Coturnix japonica: one gene and its partners. The protein of the gene in region 1 interacts with the protein of each later gene in a biochemical or structural test. Links are inferred from orthologs where the notes say so. Each region holds a gene or a part of one and is shown on either strand. Other genes may lie near its edges. The genes, in order: PTPN3, RPS6KA1 and sodium channel protein type 5 subunit alpha-like.

Evidence for each region.
Region 2: the proteins of PTPN3 (region 1) and RPS6KA1 interact in a test that uses a peptide from one of them, tested with the Homo sapiens proteins (2 studies listed by BioGRID and IntAct). The link is inferred for Coturnix japonica from reciprocal best matches to the Homo sapiens genes PTPN3 and RPS6KA1.
Region 3: the proteins of PTPN3 (region 1) and sodium channel protein type 5 subunit alpha-like form a complex in vitro, tested with the Homo sapiens proteins (2 studies listed by IntAct, with this or other methods). The link is inferred for Coturnix japonica from reciprocal best matches to the Homo sapiens genes PTPN3 and SCN5A.

What each region holds. Positions count from the first base shown.
Region 1 is NC_029517.1:46,306,465-46,316,756, reverse strand, and holds the start of PTPN3 (tyrosine-protein phosphatase non-receptor type 3), read right to left. Parts: upstream 5,747-10,292; 5' UTR 5,717-5,746; coding exon 5,590-5,716; intron 1-5,589.
Region 2 is NC_029538.1:170,207-174,328, reverse strand, and holds the start of RPS6KA1 (ribosomal protein S6 kinase alpha-1), read left to right. Parts: upstream 1-1,322; 5' UTR 1,323-1,407; coding exon 1,408-1,470; intron 1,471-4,122. UniProt on the Homo sapiens protein: Serine/threonine-protein kinase that acts downstream of ERK (MAPK1/ERK2 and MAPK3/ERK1) signaling and mediates mitogenic and stress-induced activation of the transcription factors CREB1, ETV1/ER81 and NR4A1/NUR77, regulates translation through RPS6 and EIF4B phosphorylation, and mediates cellular proliferation, survival, and differentiation by modulating mTOR signaling and repressing pro-apoptotic function of BAD and DAPK1.
Region 3 is NC_029517.1:4,780,762-4,790,869, forward strand, and holds the start of sodium channel protein type 5 subunit alpha-like, read left to right. Parts: upstream 1-3,657; 5' UTR 3,658-3,866; intron 3,867-6,327; exon of another isoform or gene 6,328-6,476; intron 6,477-10,108. UniProt on the Homo sapiens protein: Pore-forming subunit of Nav1.5, a voltage-gated sodium (Nav) channel that directly mediates the depolarizing phase of action potentials in excitable membranes.

The DNA of each region.
Region 1 (10,292 bases):
TCATTTGGTGATACAGACAAATTAAGGCCTGAGTTGCTCACTCAGCTGCACCTGAGGCTGGGACAACTCAGGACATGCAGACAAATGCAGCTAGAGACTCCCAGTAAACTAAAGAGACAAATAAGTCCTTGAACTTAATCTCCACCAGCTTTGTTGGGATTTCAGTCTTAAACATCAGGTCAAATGCCCAGTTCAAAAATCTGTAATGGATTTTACACCTAGATCTTTCTTTCATGAGAGGAGAGGGATAGACACCCCCCCCCCCCCCCCCCCCGAAGGCTGTCCTAAGCTAGACCAACTCTCTGGAAGAAAACTCCATGCAAAGCTTTGCTCTCAGTACTCTGTGACAACTTTGCCATCATGGTATTGAAATCAACAGCATAATTGTGCCTAAAATACAGTAGCAAAAGTAAAGGTTTTTTTTGTTTGTGTGCTTGTTTGTTTTTTTCTTGAGGAAAGGATGTGCTTTGTTGAGGAAAAATGCAGATAAGCAAACCCTGCTGCTATCAACAGCCTCATGGAGCCACTACAACAGAGCTTGTGTCCCTCAGAAATCTCCAGTGCAGCAGAAACCTCACATATGCAATGAGGAGAAATACTGCAAAGATCCAGAAAGCCTTCCAAGAGCCAGGATCTCAGCAGGACATAGATGTGTGTGCCTTTGAGACACCAAGTGTGCACTGAGCAGAATGGCAAACATATTCCAGGCCCATTTTCAACTTCTTTCTGCTGTTTTCTTCCTCAAATTTTCCCTTTCTTGCAAAGCTTTCCCTCCGAGCCTGTCCTGCATGAGCTGCTGAATGCATCCAGCTGCTGGTAGCCTTCCCTGCTTGCATTCCCACCCACGTTACCACAGCAGCAGGAACAGCAAAACACTAAACATGAGGTCTCTGCGTGGGCAGAGTCCCTGCGTCCTCTGGACTCTGGAGCATCCTTGATGCAGCTGCCAGGCCCTCAGAGGATTTTCACATCTTAAGTGTTTGCTCTGAATCCTTTTCCAGCTGAACCTGGCACATTTCTGGGACAGCTAACATCGCCTGTGTGCAGAACGTGTAGCCAGTACTGGTTATACCCGTTTTATGTGTTTTTCAGAGAAGTTTTTAGCAGCTGGACTACGTAGGGTGAATATAAACAGTTGTCCCAAGTACACTTCTCAATCACTTCTGAGCAGCTCAATCTTGCTTACATTTCTACCTGAACTCCACCCATGCCTTACATAAGCCTTTCTTCCAGAGATAAGTCAACAGAGAGGAATTCACATGGAAATAGCTTTCCACGTGGCTTTCAGATGAGGAGCATATGAAGAGCACGTGTATTAATTAAGCCTTGTTTTCACTTTACTTTTTATTCCTTTGGACATACTTGGATTTCAAAAAAGTAAGGAATTAAATCAACTTTGTTTCTTATTATCTGACTATTGCTATAGATCAGGTTGAAGAACACCGATGTATTAATTTGTTATCAAAAGTTATCAAAACTGAGAGCCAAAATACCTGACAGTCAGGTACCACAGTTCCCTGGAAAACAGCTCTATTTAAATAAGTTTTTTGTTTTGACGATATGACGGGTCTTGTCAAGAACAGTAATCATGTTGGGGCAGTATATTTTGATTTCTCCAAGACAGCTGATTTAACACTGCAGGGAATTTTGATATAAAATGGGCATGTACAAGGAGCCTACAGAGTGCATATTATATGGCCAAACATTGATTCAGCAGTAGAACTTTAAGAGGTCCACGAGACAAAAAGTGGTGCTTTTTCTCATGTAGTCCACCCAGTATCAGTTCTCTACACTGAAATATGACTTCATATTTCAGTGCACACTCCAAACAAAATAAAAAAAGTCTTTACCAGCAAATTTGTTAAGTGATCAAAAAAACAGTTGCGTAGTTAACAGAGAATTACTCCTGCCCAGAGAGTGATCTCGTTTAAGTGGTCAAAGTAGATACAGATACAGTCAAACAAGAGATTTTAGATTTGAAAATAATGAATAGTTGAAAGGTAGTTGAAAATGATTTTCCCTAAAACTTAGAATTTAACAGTTTTCTTTGGGCGGGAGAGAGAGGGAGAAAGGAAAAAAAAAAAAAAAAAAAAGGAAGAATTTGACAGGCTGTCATTGATCTAGGTGTCAGTGAGGGAAGGCATGGGCTGCATGGGATCACAGTTTATGTTGGAAAGGGATTTTATTTTTTGCCTCCTCAAGACGCACAGAGAACTTCCCACGTCCTCCCATGACTGCATGCATAACTCTGCAATGATGCTCTTACGAGTAAGAATGAAATCTATTAATTTTAGATTACTTTTTCATACCTGAAATCTAGGCAAACCATCCTGAAAATGTACATTTGACACTTTATGACAGATAAAACAATCAGTACCAAACCAGCCTCAAATGCAAATGCCTTCTCACTGAAATTACAGTGCAATTTCATGTTTATTTTCAAATTAAGAGAATATTTATTATTATTATTATTATTATTATTATTATTATTATTATTATTATTATTATTATTATTATTATTATTATTATTTTGGAATCACTGAAATAAAAAACAAAAACCAACCCTTTGGTGGTTTTTAATTCTGTTACAGATAATTAAAGTACAACACAAAAGTGCTTTTTATTTGTAAAGTGTCTTCAGGTTAATTTTGTTCCGGGTGAAGTTACTTTTTTTCCTCTCCTCTTTAAAAGGCTGAGACCAGAATCCTTTTCTCACATGCCTTCCTACTGTTATGAAAAAAATAGATATTTGGGCTCTGGCAATATAAGAATATTACCAAAAAGAGCAGACAAACAAAGGATTTCAAGATAGAGAAGAGCTGTGAAGCCACTCGAGAAGTTTATCACAACTCCAAAAGAAACCACATTTATTACATACATTTTTTGTTCTAACTGGTATAATAGCCATTTCAATGACTAATTTATGGTATATTCCTCAGAATCCATCTCTGCCAAAAGGGGTGAGAATAATGGTTTTGAAAAGGATGGATGGTGGTGCTGAGCCTAGCGAGGCAGCTGTGCCTACCCAAGGTACATGCGCCTCACACAACACTGTTTTGACAATTCATAATTTCTGATACAGGAGAGAAAAAAAAGAAACAACAGTAGCAAGAGCTGGTAAGATTTTAACATGTCCTGAAACAACAGGGCACAGGCTACCTTCCTGGTCTTGTCATATCTGTCTTGAGATGGTCCTACTGGATGAGATGCCTGACAAAGTAATCAGTTAAAAAAAAACAGAACAACACAAGGAAAATGTAGTGTCCACCTGTGGAGTGAATACCTTAGCAGTGAAGCACTGAACCTATGCAGACCTATAGAAAATATATGACTAACAATGGTCTAATCTTCAGTGTTGTAAGCATCACAGCATGTTTTGGAAGACAAAAAAAGCTCACCATAAAACGTCTTATTTTTCCCCTGAAAATCATTTATAGAGATAAATGACAATAAACAGGACACACATATGGAAATACGTTGTCATGGACAGCTAGGCACTTCAGGTATGAAGTTTCGAGTGTCTTGTTAAATTCACATAGCAACAGATACATAGCCAATGACTCACAAAGACATCCCTTGCCCATTTTGATACAGCAGGAAGGATTTCTTAAAAGGCTTGGTTTTGTCTTTAAGCTAAGATCTGCAATGGTTCAACTTTTCAGACCAGTTCACAAAAGCACAGAGTTTTGAGCTCAAATGCATCGCCTACTGGGGTAGATTGACCCTTCATGACCAGAACTGAGATATTCAGTGCTCAGTGGTGTTTGGTTAATGTGTCAGGAAGATGTACTACCTGTTCCTGGCAAGTGCTTAATGCTCTAAATGCCAAGGCTGATTCTTTACGTGGCCCTTTCTTCAGCCCATGGAGCAACTCCAGTGGCTTCAGGGGGCGACCAGTCCTGACTCATGCCACCAGAAGATGTAATTAGAGAGCCCAGCTTGTGCATCCTGCGGTATCACCTGGCTTCCTTCCTCTTATGGATTTACTTTCTTTGTGTTTCTTATGATTTTTCTGTGCATATTTTTCAGACTCTACAGTGCTGCATGCGTTGCAGCTGACACATTTCTGCATTACTGGGAGCCAAGCTTGACTGGGAAATCCTTCTCTCTTACACATGCAAAAACAATGACACGCAGTGTGAAGTTGTATATAATATACAAAACTGTGCAATTTGAACTCCATTCACCCTCTGTCTTTCATAGATGGCAACTGGATGATTTTAACCCAGAATGGCTCATCTGCTTTTTAAAAAGGAAAAGAAAGGAGAAAAAAGAAAGGAAGTGAAAAGCATTCACTCAGGTTGTTTATGTTACAGCAAAGCTAAAAATAAATTACTGATAGCCTGCATATGTAAAGGTTTATGAAAACCTCTAATAGCAACTAGTCAGCAGCAAAGGAAGCACTTGGTTTTCCATAGCAAAGCAACCACAACTCTGGTTCCCCTTAAGGCTGGCTGGCTACAAGCGGGCTGGCTCCTAACTCAGATCAGCAGGAAGAATTTAATTCTCTGTCGTCTTCTGCATTTGGGGCTTTGTGAGAGAAGTCATCTCTCCACAGGTAAACTGCATCTTTGCTGGCATCCCAGCCCTCCCTGCTCTTAGCCAGCACCAAGCTCTGCACAGAGGCACACATCCAGAACAAAGCCAATCCTTCCATGTGGAGTAAGCTTTAAATAACATCCTCTTCGTGTTGCCAAAACAAGCCAACCCATTCAAAAAGTGAAGTATCTGGAGTTCAAAGAGAGAAGGTTTTCTTAGCGCTGAACTTTGCTCAGGCGGCACACTGGAGTGGCTTCGGGACATACCAGTTCCGTTCTTGCCTCTGCTGAGCGTTTTGTTCAGACAAGTCCAGGCCAGGCGCAGTGCCTTGCTCCTGCAGCCAGCTGCCTCCCTCCCTGCCTGACACGCTCTTCTTGGGCACCTTGGGAGCTGAACTCCGAGTTTTTCAGAATACTTTTTAGATACTCCAAATCTTGTTATAACCAAACACGTGCAAAGATTTTTGTTATTCTTTCCAGACTGTAATATGGTCTCTAGTAAGATAAATAATATTTATGTTAAACCTTCCTTTGGGGAGAGAGGGATTGATTTGGGAATCTTTGAACTGTGCTGTAAATCTCAGCTGACATTTGCATAAAGTTCTGGACAGTTTGTACAGTCAAACAACAACCACCTCCATTTTTGTCTTTCACCATACTATAACTTCCCAGAAAAAGATTTTGCAGTCCCCCAAGCTGCCGTCTGAGTTACTCAGAGCACACTGTTCACATTCTCCACCACACCTGCAGTGCCACATCGTAGTACCTCACAAATACAAGCACAAAGCCAAACATTAAAGCAAGTTTCCTCAAGACGCTTTTATATCAAAGTTCTTCATACAAGCATCCTTTCTTTTGCTTGTAAAGGCACTAATCATATTTCAATTGCATCCCTACAATATAAATTTAATAGCTTCCTTATTTCCTCACTTTAGCATTTCCCCTGTACTCCCTCTGCCTTTTCAATTATAATAGCTAGATCGTTTCTTTCATTTCCTTTCTCCTGTGTCCTGCTTTCATTTCTCATACAAAATCACATTTGGTCACTTACACTTTTCTTGAGGATAAGCACACGACAGCAGGATCTCTTGCTCCACCATGGTGCCGCCTGCCAGAGAGTTCAGGGGTCTTCTGAATAGCGTTTCAAGAAAATATTTTGGAAAGCTCAGCTCGCTCATGCGAGCTTCTGATCTTCTCCAGCCCTCTTGGCTTCTGTGTGCTGTCACATGTTATCCTTCCTCCTGACAAACCTGTGCAGCAGGTCTGGCAACACGCATCTTGTGTGTCAGAAGAGCTTTAATTGATTCACTGCAACAGGTACCCACCTTCATTAAAAGAACTTTTTTTGAAAGGAGTAGTCTCTTAGCGCCTCATTTGAAATTACAGAACCTGCAAAATGTCACAGCTGCTGCACTTTAAAGGGAAGCTGCTTGAGAACGTGCAGGAAGTAATTTAGAATCAGTCTTACATGCCAAATAAACCACAGCTAGCGGTATAAGTTGGGTGCTTCTGCACCGTGGGAGAGCAGCAAGCCTTTTGCTATGCACACAGGTGGCATGGTCTGCTTCTGCATCTCACAGGGCATAGATTCTTGTGGGATAAAACAACCCCATATCTCTGCCATAGAGACCTCTGCCCCCATGAATAATAGCGCTGATTGCTACTGATGCAAACCATGTGGCCGTGATTTCTTAGATACACAGACTGGAGAATGCAAGGTTACTGGTGCTGCCTGCAGAGAAGCTAAGTCCATGTAGCAACCACAAAAATCTCTGCCTTAGCACAACCCCTATATAGGTCTCAGCAAAGAGCCCCCAGCATGGCCCTGAAAGCTCCATGCAGTTTAATTACCAGTTCTCTGCTGACCTCATGCCAAGAGTGGCCCCTCATTATGACTTGCACCAGTTCCACATTAGGGCACATCAAAAAGTATCCCCATAGCCATTTCCTACTGCAGTTGCACCCCCAAGCATTGTTGAGTGCAAGTGAGGCTGTGGCTAGGAAAGAGCCAAAAAGCAGTAGACGTGGGATTTACACCTGACTCTGCCTCTAATTTGCCCTGTCACATTGGGCAAATTGCTTTAGCTCTCTGTTGTTTCCCCATCTCTACCACAGATAATTACAGCTCCCTTTCTTTAGAAAGTGCTTTGAAATCTATGCACAAAACACACATGAAAGAGGAAGTTATCATTATTGCACACTTGTAAAATATTGGGATGAGGCAGACAATGAGCAGTGAGCATTTCAGATTGCATGCATGCCAAGTGTCGTGTTATACAAGGAGTGTGACCTTATTGTCATAACCTGATTATTTATGCTGTAAAAAAATAAATAAATAAAATAATTCTATAAAATTCAGTACAAGTCCAGTTTCTGTTTTGCTGAGAGAAAAAATCTAAACCAATTCTCACTTATAAGAACTTTACATCCTCCCGGAAATGGCAGGTCCACAAGAGGTTCCTTAGTGGAGAATGATGTAGTATGGCAGTTTCCTGCTTCTCTCTCACCTGGGTAAATAACATTTCTCATTTTGCAGCCAGTGAGTGTTTACATTAGACTCAGAAGATCTGAATACTCACCCCCCTTCTCTTTTTAAAAAAATAAAAGTCAACAAAGATTGCAAAGAGCTGGTTTTGTTGTCGTTGTTGTTTGGTGGGTTTTTTTTTTTGTTTGTTTGGTTGGTTGGTTTTAGTTTTTTGGTTTTTTTTTCATGTGCAAATAGACTCAAACAGACTGATGAAAAGCTGTGTTTTTCAGTGGCTGAATTCATTCAAATAGGAGTCTTGTATTTGCTTCAGTACTTTAACAAACAACATGAGAGAGCTGCTTCTGTTCACCTTACTTCCGCAGTGTAGCTCATTGAGGGGCCTCTCTTTAGTGGGGAGGTTTGTAAAGGAAATGACAGTGAATTAATTTTCCCTGGAATTTAGAGCAAATAATCGTTGGTCACTTGAGGAAACAGTGGTTGCCAGGGCAGTGCATGATGGAGATGCTGTCGCCTTCTTGCCTCCACATGTGCTACGACTGCCCATGTACTCTCACTCACAGACTAAAGACCTCTCAAATGATGGCAGCACTCCTAAGATGATGGATTGAAGACCTCATAGGGTTGAAAATTAAGACAGACTTGCAAAACCTTTAACAGTATATTTAATGAAGAGGCCAAGTAATTGCATTTTTCCTTCTGCATCCTTTTCCTGTAAGAATATTCCCAATAAAAATGTGCTTATCCACTCCCCTACTTGACCTAAAATCCCAGATAATGCTTAGCATGAGAGATAGCTCAGAGATAAAGCTGGGCAATGCTGAACTGAATGAAGATGAATGACTATGGGGAAATAGCTTTTTGTGAAATGCCCCTTGCTTGCAAGATGATACTGTCAGACTCTGAAAACTTACCTGAGTCTCAAAACATCATTCTCTGCATGACTTAATGTGGCCAGCCAGGTTTATTACAGACCAGGAGGTTGGTAAATGTATAACCTACTTACTTACTCCATCATCCATTACAGAGCCATGTTCTAAGATGTCCTAAGGTTACTGCACTGGTAGTTTATAGTAGGAACTCAGTCACTTAGTGACTTAGTTCACAAGCTCAGAAGCATTTGGAACTACATTTGCAGAAGAATATATATGCATTTGCTTTGTCTGATTACATGCAGTTGCAGTAGGTGACTTGCCAATAACAAAAGTTTTATGACATTTGCAAACTCCTACCCAGAATCATATTATCACAGAATCACAGAATCACAGAACTACCCGGGTTGGAAGGGACCTCAAGGATCATGTAGTTCCAACCCCCCTGCCTAGCAGGGCCACCAAACATACACCTTTACTAGATCATTGTTGGCCCAGGGCCCCGTCCAACCTGGTCTTGCAACACCTCAAGGACGGGGCAATCCACAACCTCACTGGGCAGCCTGTTCCAGGACCTAACCACCCTTCTCAGTAAAGAACTTCCCTAACATCCAACCTAATCATCTTCCCTCCTTCAAACTTAAAACCATTTCCCCTAGTCCTGCTATTATCAGCCCTTTCGACAGAAAGTTTACTCCCCTCCTGGGAGTAAGTGTCCCTTCAGGTATTGACAAGGCTTGCAATGAGGTCACCTCGCAAACCTTTCTCTCTAACCAGGCTGAACAAACCCACTCCCTCAGCCTCGTCCTCATAGGGGAGGTGCTCCCAGCCCCTTGATCTCTTTGTCGGCCCTCCTCTGTACCCTTTTCCAAGATCTCCATACTCTTTTTGTACTGAGCTCCACACCTGGACATAGTATCCAGATGGGGCCTCACAAGACGCAGAGTTAGAGGCAGGGACGATCACCTCCCTATCCCTGCCTGACCACCCCTCTCCTTGATGGAGCCCAGGATCCCATTTGCTTTCCGGGCTGCCAGAGCGCACTGCTGGCTCGTGTTAAGTTTCTCATCTATCAGGACCCCTAGGTCTTTTTCAGCCGAGCTGCTCTCAAGAACAACTCCTCCCAGCCTGTACAGGTGCCTGGGGTTCTTCCGGCCCAAGTGCAAAACCTTGCACTTTGCCGTGTTGAACCTCATTAGGTTCACCCAAGCCCAGCTTTCCAGCCTGTCAAGGACCCTCCCATATTAGCATGTTCTGATTTAAATTTCAGTGGAAAGGACTGTTAGGGAAAAAAAAAAAAAAAAAAGAAAAAAGTGTACTTGCAAAAAGGTAATATAAGAATGACAGAGAAAATTCTTTTAAAATTATATATATATTTCCCTTTCTCTTTTTAGCTGTCATCTGCACATGGATGAAGATGGTCAGGAATTAAAGTTGCTAACCCGCCTCTGGAAATAGAAGACACAGTGAGAGTTGATTCCAATCTTTTCAGCAAAGAGAAAAACAGCATGTAAGAATAGGTGCCTGAGAATTTTGGGATGAATGAAAGCATTTAAACACCACATCCTAAAAATCTGAAAGCCATCTAATGAGCTATGTGAACTGGTACTGTCAATAGCAGCAAAAACTCTAGAAAGAGTCAAGTTTACATACAGGAGTATTTTGCTGTAATGAAATTAAAATATGAAGCGATACAGCCATCTTTGGATGGGCTCCAATCATTCAAATCGATGCGTACATTCATGTGTGAGTTATTTGTGAAGAGCACTCAAATGACAAACATCCCGTAATTGTGGTGCTTGATCCTCCAAGAAGCTCATCTCTGTAATTATAATCATTGTCTGAAAAAACAATACAGTAACTGTGCAATTGATGCTCGTCTCCACTTCTGTCACTGAAGTGACAAAATATCCAAGCCATGTTCACATCTGCTTCCTTATAATGCTCCATTTGTCCTCACCCCAGTATCTAGCCATAACCTACAATTATGCGTCATTAGATTTCTGTGGAACTGATTAAAGGCTGTCCTATTCAAAGCTGATTTGGGAATATTCCAAAAGCCTGAGGGCGGGCCCTAACTGGCATAAAAGAAGCAGATTTAAGCAGCTGATTCCTTAAACATCATGGGTTTCCCACTTTGGGTAATAACTGCTACCCAGTGCAACGTGAAGAAGATGAAGTCCTGAATATACCGCATGTGATGGTGTCATCCTTACCATGTGGGCAGTCATTGCTTTTCCTTTCTCATTCAAGAGAAAATGCTTAAATCAGCAGAATAGTAAGTGCTGGTTTGTTTTAAAATGGCTTTGTGGCGTTACTGCAGAACTGCTGCTTGCATAGCAGGCACAGGATGAGTGAGGGAAAGAGAGGGAAGGTTCCCAGTGCTCTCTTTAGACC
Region 2 (4,122 bases), on another chromosome or scaffold:
GAGCAGCAGAGCTGGGAGTGCAGTGGGATGTGGCACAGAAAGGTCACCTTCATGGGACCTGGCATGAAAGTGCAGCAGGTCACCAAGAGTGGTGTCTCATTTTGTTCTCCTCCCTCATACTCCTCTACGCATTCCCAGTTGGTTTGCATGCAGAGTAGCTGGAAATCCAGAACAGGAGCTGCATTTTGCAAACAAACATAGAAGGTAAGCGGGATGCCAGCACTGACATCATCGTGTTATCGATGCCATTTAAAACAGGTTGCAATCTGCAGCAGCTGGAGGAGGGATGCAAGCAAACGGCACACCATGTACCAAACAATAAGGGTAAATTATGGACAGCTTCGGAGCTGAATGAATAACTCTCCGCAAGATCTGCTTCAGCTTGCTCCAACGGTAAGTGACATCAGTTTAATTGGCCTCATTTAGCACCAGCCTGGTGGATCTGTGTTATTTAATGCCTTCATCTGCAACTCAGTGCTTGCAGCACAGAGGGGTGCTCCAAGCACAGACAGCAGTGCTGGGCTCACATACTTTCACCGTGGGAATTTCTTACATCGGATTCCTGCACGTGTGAACAAGATGGGCCTAGTAATGGCTCACAGATCAGTTCTGAGAGCTGTGAGGATGGAGTGGAGTTTCTCAGCCTGCTGTGCTCTGTTCTACTTCAGCTTTCTTCACCTTCACCGCCTCTGATCAGCTCACGGCATTCGGGCCTCACAGGGATGGCTTCACGGGACAGAGTGCAGCAGCAGAGCTGTGTGCTGTGCTTTCCCTTGGGCTCATTAAATGATATTTCAGCCACACCTTGATGAAGTCAGCCCTTAGCAATGCACCCTTTGACGTGGTTATTTGTTTTTGTTTTTTTAATAACAAATCGTTTTAAAGAGGTTGAAAACGTGGTACTTTGGATTTCAGTAAAAGCAAGAAGACAACTCCTCCTGCACGAGAAACCCGGCAAACCCAAACAGTGCCGCATGTGTTCTGAGCAGCTGTGCTCACAGTACCTTTCCTCCGAGCATCCACCGAGGCAAAGCGGGGAGGGGTTCGTTACCCGTATTCGAGGAGAGCACCGCGATCAGCCACTCATCTCCAACCGAAGAATCCAAAGGTGTGCGTGGATATACACACGATCCTTCATTCACGTCGCTGCCTGAAGGAAAAGCGCAGGGCGGGGGTGGGTCAGGAAGGGCTTAAGGAAAGGCTCCGCACCGCAGTGGGCTGCCCAGGGCAGCGAGCGCAGCCGAGCGACGGTTCCCCGAGACCAGCTCGGAGCCGCCCCGGAGCCGGGAGGAGCCGCGCCGCCCCCCGCCCCGCCCCGCCGCTCCCGGCCCGGCTCGGGCAGCCGGTGCCCAGCGCGGGGCACGGAGCCGAGCGTTGCCGCGCCCTGCGGGGCTGCTCGCCGGCAGGATGCCGCTCGCACAGCTGGCCGAGCCCTGGCCCAACATGGAGCTGGTGCAGCTGGATACGGAGGTGAGCGGGGTGAGACGGGCGGCGACCCCCAGGGGTCTCGCGGAACAAAGGAGAGCCCGGCCGGCCTGCTCCTTTTCTTCCTTCCCTCCCTTCCTTCCCTCCCTCCCTCCGCTCTTGCCCCGCTGCTCCAACTGAGCCCCGCGGGGTTGGGAAGCGCGGCGGATCGCTGGGAGCTGCCGGCTGCGCTGCTTTCCTTCGGCTCCTCGGTACGAGCTGTGAACGCGAGCACGGCTCTGCTCTGGGAGCTTCCCCCGCCCGCCTCAGCGCTGCCCAGCCGCCGTCCTGCGTCTGTCCGCTGGATGTTGTGCGCTTCGCTCTTAACGAGCCCCCCCAGCCCAGGTGTGCGCTGCCCGCACCGCGCTTCGCACCGCAGCCGCCGCAGCACGTCGGCACCGCTCGCAACCTTTTCCTCGCTGTGGTGCAGCCGAGGTGTGAGCACAAACGGCTCCTCAGCCCGGCTGCAGCTCGCGGCTTTCGGGATGGGTTCGTGCGGGTTTTGTCCCGCTTCGCTCGCTCCCTGCCGCTCTCCCGTTTTAGACCTTCTGCCTCTTACCCCTCCTATCGTGCCGAGGGATGTCACAGTGGTTAACTGGTCAGTTTCGTTTATTCCTACTTAAAATTATCTCTTAAGGAAGCTCTGCTGGGAACGGAGGCCAGGTTGCCCAGCTGTCACAGCCAGATGTGAGGGGTGGGCGGCTGCGCCTCGTGCTGTGCACTCACCTCTGCTTGGGGTGTGGGGATGTGCCTGTGTCCTTCGGGGACTGGGTCGTGGTCCTGAGGCCATAACGTGCTCAGGGAAAGCTGGGTGTGATGGGGGGATGCGATTTGTCTGGAAAACAAACTTGGAGTGGGAGGAAACTAATGCTGGTGCCTGGGGCGATAGATGCCATGGGCAGGATTGGTGTGTCACTTAATCCTGGGGATTCGGGTGCTGGGTGGCAGCTGTGCCAACACCACAAACGTCTCCCCTGGCTGGAAGCAGCCACGGGGGCACCACATTCATCAGCCAAAGTCCCTCAGGAAGATTGTGGCAGCAGCGAGGGCTCCTCTCCCCATTGCATTAGTTGTGGATGTGTACTCTGTAAACTGCAGCTGCAGGCTGCCTTTCCCAGCTCTCCTTGGCAGGGCTGGAGGTTGGCGGCAGGGCTGGGAGCAGAGTGCTGGTGCTGGAAGGCACTTGACACCTCAGCACTGTGCCAGGTGGGACACCAGCAGCTCTGCTCCCTCGGGCTTCAGGTGAGCGATGTGCTCGGTAGCATGGGCACTCTGCACCTCTGGGCGCTGCTGCAGGCACCTGGAGCCGACAATCTGTGAATGGCAGAGAAGGACTTGGTGGAGTTTTGCACGCAGTGAGGTTCTGTTTGCCAGGGGCAGGAAGGTTCACCTTCTGTAGGGCAAGGTGGCACCAAAGAGAGAAACCAAAGAGACTTTTCTGGAATGCGTTACGTAAATCGCCTGGGATCGCTGCCATCGAGGTGTAAAGCCAGCTTCCTCCAACCTTTGCTTTCTGAGTCACGGAGCAGAGGTGCTGGCACTGTGCTGCGGAGGCACCCAACTCATTGTGTCAGGGGGTTTTTCCACTGCTCCCCAGGAGCAGCTGCTGAGCTGGTCACAGCCAGCACCCACTGTCTCAGAGCTGTGCTGAGGAAGCAGTGGGAGGGTGAGCTGTCCTGTGGACTGAGCTCGCTTCATCATGCTTCCTTCTGTTTACAAGGGTGGACAGTGATAGGACAAGGAGGAATGGTTTTAAACTAAGACGGGAGATTTAGGTTGGATCTTAGGAGGAAGTTTTTCCCCAAGAGGGTGGTGACACACTGGAACATGTTGCCCAAGGAGGCTGTGGATGCCCCATCTCTTCAGGCATTCAAGGCCAGGCTGGATGTGGCTCTGGGCAGCCTGGGCTGCTGGTTGGTGACCCTGCACACAGCAGGGGGTTGGAGCTGGATGAGCATTGTGGTCCTTTTCTACCCAGGCCATTCTATGATTTCATTCTATGATTTCATTTATTCCAGTTCTTTTATTTTTATTCCCTGCTCTATTTTTTTCTGCCTATTTGGAATGTTGCTTATGTGGTAGAAAAACCTGTGTGGGGCAGAGCACTAGAGATGGAGCAGAGCTGAATGACTGCATTGCCATAGTGATGGGAGCTGCCATCATGGCTGTGCATGCCTTTAAACTCTTGTTGTCATACACAAACACAGAGCAACACAGATGACATGAGATTACGACAAACCCAACCACTCCAAGCTAATTATTTTGGCCTGTGTGTGTGCATCTGCTCATCCCTTGTTGAGCAGAAGCTATTCAGGAGTAACTGTCTTTCTCTGTGTGCATTTCAGCTTAAAAGTGAAGACAGTGATGATCAAAGGGGAGGAAGCAGAGAGGTTTCTGTCCATGATACACTTTGAGCACTGTCTCCTCTTGCGTGGGGAACTCTGGAGGGAAGAGCTGGAGATGGTTGTTTTTGCAGAGTTCTGTCCTTTCCCCTGTGCCATGGGGTGATGTGTGTTGGCAGCACTGAGAGAAGCGCACAGCCCGCATGGTGCTGCCCGTCCTGACATTTGTCCTCCTTACGTATCAGAGCAGCGGTTCCCTGTTCTGTAAATTGCTCCTCCACATGCTTCAGATTAGGTGGAATTAAAGGGATTTAAA
Region 3 (10,108 bases), about 42 Mb from region 1:
TAGCACCCAGTGCTCCAGCAGCTTCTTGTACCACTGAATAAGAGGTACGGTAGCAAAAGGCTTCATAGAGAGCCATGGTCTGTGGAAATCAAAAGTGCTCACATAAAAGGGGGAGGGCAGGCCTTTCAAATTTAAAAGAAAATGTGTGTGTATATATAGAGGCAAATTAAGTTTTGCAGGATTCTGAGGAATTGTAATTTTATTTTATTTTTTTTAAATTTATTTTAAGAAAAAGAACAGTATGTTTCGAACCAAATCTCTCCTCCAAACTCTCTCGTTTGCAAGAGCTGCGTGTCTTTCCAATTTCTTTGTTTCCTTAAAACAGGTGGCAACAAATGTGTGGGGATTTAGGATGAAAGGTTCTATAAATACCTTGGAACAATAAATGGCTCTTTGTAAGCAGCACTGCTGTCTGTAATTCCTTTAAGAGAGCAGTGAATGCTTCAGAGGAAAAAGGTGGGTTTTTGGAGGGAAGTGAATAGAAAGATGACATCAACTGATCTCCCACGTAGTATTTACTTTGCTGCTGGTGCTTCCATCTGACATACACGTTTATTGGGTTTCAGCTGACTCATTTGAACTTCTTCACAGACGTTGCGGTAAGTCAACATTACCTGAATGCTTCTTGCAGATTTGGGTGAGGTAACGCATGTTTAATCAATTTCATCTCTTTGATCAGTCTGTCTATAGGGCTGCAGTTAACGTGGTTGCTGTATGATGAGTTTTTCCATTATGAGTTGTCTGTGTCCCAAGGATGCTTTCTCCTTGCTGAGCGAGTTTGTTGCTGCACAGGTCCATATCCCGCCTTGATGTGCTGCCCTTCAGCATAGGGGTGCATTTCCATAAAGCAATGCTTTTGGGGAGGAAATTTATATATAGCAATTGAATAACATGTGTATGCTTGATCTGGAATCCTGGGGGCAAGTTTTTCTGGGCTCTCCCTAGGATGGGATATGGGGGATCCTCTTAGTCCTGGCATAGAATGCATACAACAGATAGCTTTCCCTTCCTGTCATTTTCCCTCTTCTGTCTTTTTCCCTACCTTTCCCTTATTTTCTTTGTTTCTTCTGTAAATAGTACTCTGTGTTTCCTGTAAGCTCTGCTCAGACTGAGCTGATTTCATTACCAGAGGATCAAGGATTTGCTGGTGTTAGGAGTAATTTCTCCATTTCTAAAGGCAGACGAAATGAGGATGGATCTTTCTTGTGCTTCTTCAGGATTTTACAGTGCTTCTTTCATCCATAAGAAAGAGTGGCAGAGTTGAAAACTTAGAACAGTATTGTTCAATACTGGCTGCAAAGGAGAGAACAGCTGGTTGGACCAATGGACGGGAACTTCAATGAAAGCTCAGGGGCTTTCCCTTCTGTTCCTTGGCTGTGACTCTAAACCTGTGGCGCTGAGGTGCTGGATGCTCCCCTGTGCCCTCACACTTAATTTCTGGGACCAGGCCTGGCACAATCACTGGGACTACTAAAGAAGGAATTGGGGAATGAAGCCCCATTTTCAGCCTCATGCATGGCTCTGTGGGAGCAGTCAGCACGGTTCTGAGCTTCCTGCAGGGATGCTGGTCCCACTGCCCCATAGCTGACTTTGTGTACTTTAGAGGATGTCCTTTCCCCTGCACAGCCACCATTCAGCTTCATATGGAGTGATTGATTACAAAGGCCCTTCTCTGAAGATTTGTCTTCCTCTGTCTCCTACCTCCTACAACATCCCGCATTGCTGCAGGCTTTCAGGGGTGGTTTTCCCATCAGGAACCTTCCTTCCTGCTCACATCCACCCTCCTCCATCTTCACCCACTTTCATTTCCCTTTGTGTTCTTCTTTTTCTAGTCCCAACCTTTTCTTCCTTGCTCCTTCTCTCCACCTGCCCTTCCCCACGATAAGCTTATTCATTCTATTTTCCAGTTTGCATCTATGCCAATTCTGATCTCCTTATCTGTTAATTTCTTTGGATATGAGCTTCCTTCTGAATTCAGACCTTCTCATTGCTCACCTTCCTAGTGCCACTGCTGCTTTTTGGGGCATCCTCAGTACTTTGCTGACTGATCTGCTCTTTTCCCAGCACTTGTGTTGTAGAATTGATATCCAGCCTTCAGCTGCTTTCACAGCAGTGTTTCTTACTGCTCCAGGTTCATTGTAGATCAGTTTCATGCACTGCAGAGCCCATCATTGGGCAGGGGAAGCACTGCTCATTTCTCTGTATACACTATTTTACCTTGTTCAGAATTGTGAGCATTTTTTGCAGTTCTTCAGAAGTTTCTTCCAGTTCTGCAATCCTGAATACTTCAGTATTTCTAACAAACTGCTGCTCCTCTCTCCACCTATGAGCTTCCATTTCTGACCATCTCACTTATCACCAGGCAGATTATTTTGTGGCAAAAGTTGCTCTATTTGCTCACTTCCACTTCGTCCTGTAAGCATGACCCAGCCTCAACTCTTCCTTAAGGACTGAAGCACTTGGGGCAGAAGCTTGCAGGAGTGCTTACATTTGGTTGTGTTTGGTTGTCCATGGGAAGAACCAAAGCCAGCTTTGGCACTACTCAGCCTGTCCCCTTCCCCTGGTTGTTGGTGTCCTCCTGTCCTGTGTACCCCCAAGCATCTCTCCTTGCTGTCAGACAAATCCTTCCTTCAAACCCCCTCAATTCCCTGATGGCAACCCACAACATTCATATTCCCTGTTCTTCCCCATTCCACCTTCCTTCCCAGTTTTCTCTATTCCACCTTGCTTCCTAGTCCACTTTCTCCCCATTTCTTTATTCCCAATTCCTCCTTTCCTCTCCTTCCTCCCTTTCCCTCTTCACTTCTTTTCTCCCTCTTCACCCCTCATGCTTGCCTATCTTTTTCCCATCCCTCCTTCTTCCTCACATTTCCCTCATCCAACCCTCTTCTCCATCTCTTCAACCTCTCTCTTCTCTACCCATGTGTACTCACCTTCCTCTCCAAACTTTTTCCCTCTGTGTTCTGTCCCACCTCACCCCTTGTTTCTCATCCTTCTCCAGGCGTGCTCACCCCTTCCTTTCCCCAAATCCCCTTAACTTCCTAGTGACAACCCCAAACTTTCATCACAGTTCCACCCCACCTTCTTCCCCAACCTTCACCAGTCTCCTGTATCTTCAGCTCTTCTTTCCTTCCTATACCTTTTCCTTTTTCAATCTTTAATCCTTTCTTGTTCCTCCCTTCTGTTCTCCATCCACCTCTCCTTCCCTTCTGTGCTTCGCCCAGTCTACCTTCACCTCCATCCTTCCTCCTAATTTTCTCCCCCCAGCCTTCCTTCTGTCCCTCAGTACCTTTTCTTTTTCCTATTTTTTCTTCCCCAGCCTTTCTCACCCTTCCATTTTTCCTGACTTTCCATCTTTTTCCCCACCCCATCCCTCTCTCCTTTGACACACCCCTCTCCATCCCTTCCCACCCTTCCTCTCCACCCTTCCCCTGCCATTCTTTCCCCTCCCTATCCCTCCATCTTTCCTCCCCCTCCCCACCCTTCCCTCCCTTCCCTTCCCCATCCTTCCTCTCCCCCGCTCCCCCTCCCTCCTCCCACCGGCGGCAGAGGGCGCTGCGGACCCGATCCGCCCCAGCCCGGCTCCTCTCTGTAGGGCGGGGAGATGCGGGAGGTGCCTCCCTTCCATCCCTCTGCCCTCCCTCTCCCCTCCCTCCCTCCCCCGCCGCCCGGCCGGGGCTGCGCTCCCCCGGCTGCCGCACACGGCGCGGCGGCTCCGAGCCATGAGCCCTACGCGGCGGCCGGGCAGAACGCCCCGCAGCCGGGCCCTTCCCGTGGGACGGACCGCTCGGGGACTAAAACTCTTATGGATACAATGAAGTGGCTCTGGGACTCTTGGTTTAGCAGGAATATTTAAATAAACCAATGTAAGTTTCTCTTTTTTGTTTGCTTGTTAATAAAAAAAAAGAAAAAAAAAAAAAAAAGAAAAAAAAGAAAGGAAAAAAAAAGCATAAGGAGAAACCCCCCTTCCCCTCCTCTCCCCCCTCTTCCCCTCTTCCCCCCCCTCCCCCGTCCCCCCGAGACGTCCGGTTCAGAGCGAGTCGGAAGAAAGAGGAATTTGTTGCGACGGGATTTCCCCCTTCCCCAAACTTTCCCCTCGAGGTGGGACTGGTGCCGTCCCGTCCAGGCAGGGCGAGGTGAGGCTTCGGGAAGGAGAAGTTGGCTCAGCAGAGCTTGCGCCGGGGTGTGGAAATGGTTTAGATGTGGATGTAGATGTTGTGCTGGTGAAGAGTAACTCTGGTTGGGAATTGGTCTAGATTCTGTCTTGCTTCTGCATCCAGAAGTGCCGGAAAGAGACAACAACACAGAAAATACTCTGCAGATTGTTTGGTGAATGTCATGTGGTGTCGGATGGCTTTGAATGGAATTTTAGTGGCCCGTTTAGAAGGGAAGAAATAAGCTTGAATGGTTATTTCCGCGGTGGCAAGGAAAATTAATCATTCTCATGTATCATGAGAGCGTTACTGATATTACTTGTAAGAACTGCCATAATATATTAAGCATATGTCTTAATAACACCACTCATCTCAAAGCCCTTTGCGAAACACCCGTACTTGAAACGTTTGGAGTTTTTCCAGCACAAATTAAAAACTCTGCTCGGCTTAAGGAAGTAGAGGAAAACAGGGAAAGCTGTGCAGCACACTGACAAGGTGATCATGATTTGATCAAGGCTGCCCCGAGGGGACCGGTGACATACTGGGAGCACCGTAAGAGAGAATGAAGGCTAAATTAAAGCAAAAGTTATGCAACCAAAGTGTGGCTGCATATGGGAACAAACCAGACCTTCTTTTTTATTTAATTTTTAATATATCTTTTTTTTTTCTCCCTGGATATTTGGGTGAGAAAGTGGAGATGAGCTTCTAAAAAGCAGAGAGATGCGTGAGCTGTGCTCACCTACGGCAACAGGTCTTGCTTTGCCTGGAAAGGATGAGCTGAGCTTTGAGAGTGCTTGAGCTGAGCCTTTCCAGCTGAGGCTGGGGCAGCTGCTGATCCTGCAGACGGGTGTCATATCCACAGCTTGTGGCCCCGATTTTATTTTTTCTTTTCACCAGGGTGACGAGCTGCTATTCCCAAAATACAGGGCGTATGGTGGAATAAAGGCGGCGATTCAAAGAGGATTTGTCAATACTAAAAATAAACAGGCCCGCAGATGTGTCCTAGGGGGTCACGTCCAGTCATAGCGTTTTCAGGGCCGATGTGCCTATTTAGTGATTTTGCGTGAGCGTGTCCTGTCCAAGGTGCTGAAGTTGATTTTGCTGATATTTCTCGGGATTTGAGGGCTTTGCACGAGTTGGTTTTGGGAAGCTTCCGCTTGTCTTGAGGCGGTACGGTTTGATTTGGAGGGTCCCTCCTGGGTGGCACAAAGAGGAAGCAGGGATGTGTTTTCAGACACGTATATTTGATCCGTCCTTTTGGCGTGGGAAAGCAGGCCAGGTGGAGCTGCAGATGGATCCAGCAGATCCTATAAGCTTTTGGTGGCAGAGAACTGGAAAGGTCAGAGCTTTAAGGCAGCGAGGAGTGAAATTCCCTCATTCTAGTGGACCAAGAAAGTGGTGGTTTTGAGTGTCTCTGCTGTTGTTTTGGGTTCCTTGCCTCTGATGAGATGCCTTATTCCAAAAAAGTTGAGGGGGAGCCTCAACTGGGTTGAGGGTAGAAATGATGCAAATGGGACTGGAATGATACCCGATGATTTTGATAGTATTTTTATTCTTCTTGTGTAGCATCTAAAAACAGCAAATGTGGTTGTCAGAGACCTTCAGAAATAGTCAGTCCTTAAGGGAAAAAGTGTGTCTTTTGGGGAAAGTGTCTCAAAAATTAAGCAATGGAGTCCTGCACTGCAAATTGTTGTATTTTTAGATTAATGTGCCAAAAGCTCTCAGACTTAAGTAGTTTAGTTTATGTAATCTTTGGTATGAGACAGACCACAGTATTGCCAGAAATGAGTATAGTGGAAAATATTATTTGTCTTTGCTTGGTGTTTGATGTTGTGATGTGCTTCTCATCAGTTCTTGAAACTAATTTTGAGTCCGTTCATAATGTAGATTGGTACTTTTTAAGACTCTCAAAGTGTTTTACAAACACAGATGATCAGACTTTGATACCTGAGTTTTTTGTGGATAAATAGTTCATGCTGCGAGGAGTCCTGTAGGTTTAAAGCACACAAAAAGTCTGTACAGTATGGTAGAGTAACTGATGTTGTTTCATATCCTCAGTCACTCGTCAGAGATCACAGAGGAACTCAGTTGCATCATTGTCTGTGTACCCTAAATACCTTGACCATGAAGGGTGTATGTGGATCATGAGGCTTCCTGACTCTGTGTGACAGCTTATGAGGATAGAGTCTAAAAAGTGCAACACAGTGGAGAGCATTATATTCCTGGTCTGAACCAGAAACTAGTCTCCGTTCTTGCTATGATGGACTAACTCCTGTGGGACTAGCACACAACTCATGAGACTTACACAGGCTACAGAGAACAGTTGAGTAGTAACTGCATTCTTGATTTAAATGCATAATCAAAATTATGTTTAAAATTGTACTGACAGGAAATGACATTCTCAGAGGTGCAGGAGATTTATGAAATAGAACTAGTTTAATTTTATGTTAAAAATCTTGTGGTTTCTTTTTTTATTATTATTTTTTTCTGTATTGGACAGGGATTTATCTCTTCTTGACTGTTTTCTTTACCATTTTCAATTGTGTATCTTGAAGGAATGCTCTGTCCATGTATGTGAGGAAAGAACTTTTAGGCTTGCGTGCTAAAGAATGTTGAGTGGCTGTTCTGAAATCGTGGTCATGTTTTTTGAAAGAAACAGATCAATATCTGTTGCTACCTTGGTTTACTTTTGGAAGCTCAATATGACAAATAGAAAGAGACCTTTTGTTTTCAGAGGGCGGATGCTCAGTTTTTCCCAAAAATTACTACCTTGTAAGTTGTCTCCAATCATCCGCAAGAATTACTCTGAGAAATTATAGGTCTGATAGTTAAAAAGTGGCAACAAGTAATTTCTCAGTTCAGTTAAATGAAGCTCCTATTTCACAAAGGCGGTATATCTCTGAATTATATGCTTAACTTCTGCTTCTGTTTACATGCTGTCTTGTGGTAGAGCCATAATCAATGTGTGAAGCAATTTATATTTTGAATTCTATAATTGCTTCTCACTTTTACTGTCTATTTTTTGTGCTTATCCCATTGCTTAAGATACTCAAGACCAGGTTGGATGGGGCTTAGGGAAATTTGATCTAGCAGGAGGTGTCCCTGCCTGTGGCAATGGGGTTGGTACTAGGTCATTTTTAAAGTCCCTTCCAACCTGAACCATTCTGTGATCTGAACCTGGAGGAAAACTACATGAAATCAGTCAGGTATATTCCTTTTAGCTTAGGGTGACTGTCTTGTCTGTACTGTCACACTGTTCAGATAAACGTGATAAATATTTGTTTATCTTTAAACTAACCATTGTCTTTATGACTGAACTAAACTCCTGATTTGTTTTCTACTGATCTTTTATTATTTATTTTGTGAACCAACCGTTGGGCCCACTTTCACCTGGCTCTGTCTCTTTGTCTCTTTGGGTTTCTCTTGCGAAGTGACAGTTTCTAAATCAGGAAGGAAATCAGGTCACATTTCTGGCTCTGCAGGACTTATCTCACTGCTCTTCTTTCAAAGTAATTAGAGTTACTAATAATGAGAAAAAGAAAACTTTTTTTTTTTTTTTCTTCAGAACTGGTATGTTCCTAACCCCTCTCTCCTGGCTGTTTTTTGTGTCACAGAAGAGATAAGAGTTTATTGAGGAGGCTCCTTTTCTCCATCAGACTGTGACTTCCTTTAAGTTGAGCTGCAGGTGATATGGTCACCCTTACAAAGATACCCCATGTTCCTTAGATTAGCTGAGTTTATTTATTCCCCACTCATTCTGTTATGGGCTGCCCTGTGGCACTGGGTAAGAACCCACGATGGAGCTGGTTAGATCTCAGCCTGGGAGAAGAACAACGTACTGACCAAAGCTGACTGTATCCCAATCCCTGAGCAGGCTGGGGAAATCTTGGTGGGACAGTATAAGCAGAATAGAAAGCATAATGGTTTTATTAAACACACGTAGTGCCAGCAATGACAACCATAGTTTGTACCCTTCCTATTCAGGCCTCTTATCAGTTACAATTTGCTGGGGTATACTCTCAGGAAAAATGGCAAGTGAAGCTCAAAAATTCACTCTTCCTTAATACATCCACCTTTGAGGAGATGTGACTCAGGAGGCTTCCTCTTCTTCACGCAAAATTTTCATTGATGTCAAAAGATCTCTTATTTTCCATAGCAAAAACGTGCTTCCCTGCTCTCTGTAATCAATGAAACTGTTTTTGTCTCAATTCTGCATGACAAAAATGGCTTGGTTTTCATTATTATTATTATTATTTTGTAGTTTTATAATATTGCAGTGGCTTTTTGAGTAGAAAAGCATCACACATCAAATAATGAAGTTCTAGTTTTGCAGCATGTTTTGTTACAAGTGCTGCTAAGCACCGAGTTTTCCTTTTTTTTTTTCTTTTTTTTTCTTACTGTACTTAATTAATTTGAAAGTGGAACAATTTGTGCTCTATCCTGGAAAAAAAAATAACTCTGTGCTTTACCAGGTTGTGTATTTCAACTTTCAGCTTGATTTGAACTTTCTTGATTTGCACAGCTTCTGCCAAAGAGGCTTTTTTATGGCAAAGCCCTACTAACCGGTTAGAGGTCCTTTATAAAGCTAGCTGGGTTCCTAAGGTTCTAAAACTGCTCTTTATCCAACATATGACTTGCAGATATCTTTCAAATGATGCCTTGCTAGTTTTATTCTAGCGCCAGTATAAGTACAGAGTGTTTATGAAGTTATATGGGTAGTTAATATCGGAGTGCATAACACTGGAGGCAGACTGGGGCATGGGTAATTTGTCTGTGCCAGAAGCCTGAAGTAGTCGTGGAGTTTGTAGGCTGATTTTGCTCATTAAGCTGTGGTTTGGGGCTTTAGAGAAGTCTGTTTTTCTTTTTGCTGTTTCTAAATGCTTTATATAACACTGAAACATCTGTGCAATAGGAAGGTATGGAAGAACTCGCCCATGGACAAATTCTTTCAAGACCCATTAATTGGAGATGGATTAGATAGTCCATTCACAAGGATTATATTGTTTATAATGATTTTTCAGAGATTCTTTTTCTTATTGTAATGAAATGGTCACTCTTCCCAAACAAATGTGCAGTTGTTTGTGTCTCAGTATCTGAATATGTCACCGTTCCTCCAGGCTGGCTTACAGCATGCCTACATGAGGTCTAGAAGTCGCAGGAACCAGGTGCCCACTTGACCCTGGGTAATCAGAACAGAACAGCTCATGGGGATCATTTCTGCTGATTCCAAGTAAGCAAAGTTCACCCCTGTTGGAGTTTGCTCAGGTTTTGTGCCCTACTGCCAGGCTACTTCAGTCCTCCAAAAAGCATTTTTACTGCTGGGCTGTACATTTATAACATCACATAATGGCTTGGGTTAGAGGAGGCCTTAAAGAGCATCCAATTCAAACCCCCTTGCTGTGGGCAGGGTTGCCAACCACCAGCTCAGGGTGCTAGTGCCCCATTTAACATTTGAATCCATCCAAGGATGGGGAAGACAAGGGCAGACATTGCCTGAGGGGGGAAATCCTGAAAAATACCAAGTTTTCAGGAAGTGTACTGGTGGCAATTAAACGAGACCTTTGCAATCATGTAAAGCTCATAAGGATGAATGATTCTGTGATGAAATTTTCTTTTTCCTCCCTGGTGTAGGCACCAAGAGAGAGGAATTCTAGGGGGAGGCTTTTGTGGCAGTGGGAAGCCCTTCTGGTGCCTACATGGCTGGAGATGCAGCACTGACTGTGGAGAAATAACAGGAAAGCTCCAGCCCAACCTGCACAGCATCATTAGAGTGTTACAACCTGACCCGCAGATGAGCATTTAGCATCATCCGAGGTCTGACACGTTAGTAGCTGTTACATAATGCACAATTATAGAATCACGCCAAAGCGTTTTTAAAATACCTGCCTGATTACTACAGGGTAATTGCACCGTGTGTCATGGGGCTGGGTGCTGTGGTTAAGGCACCCCCTGCA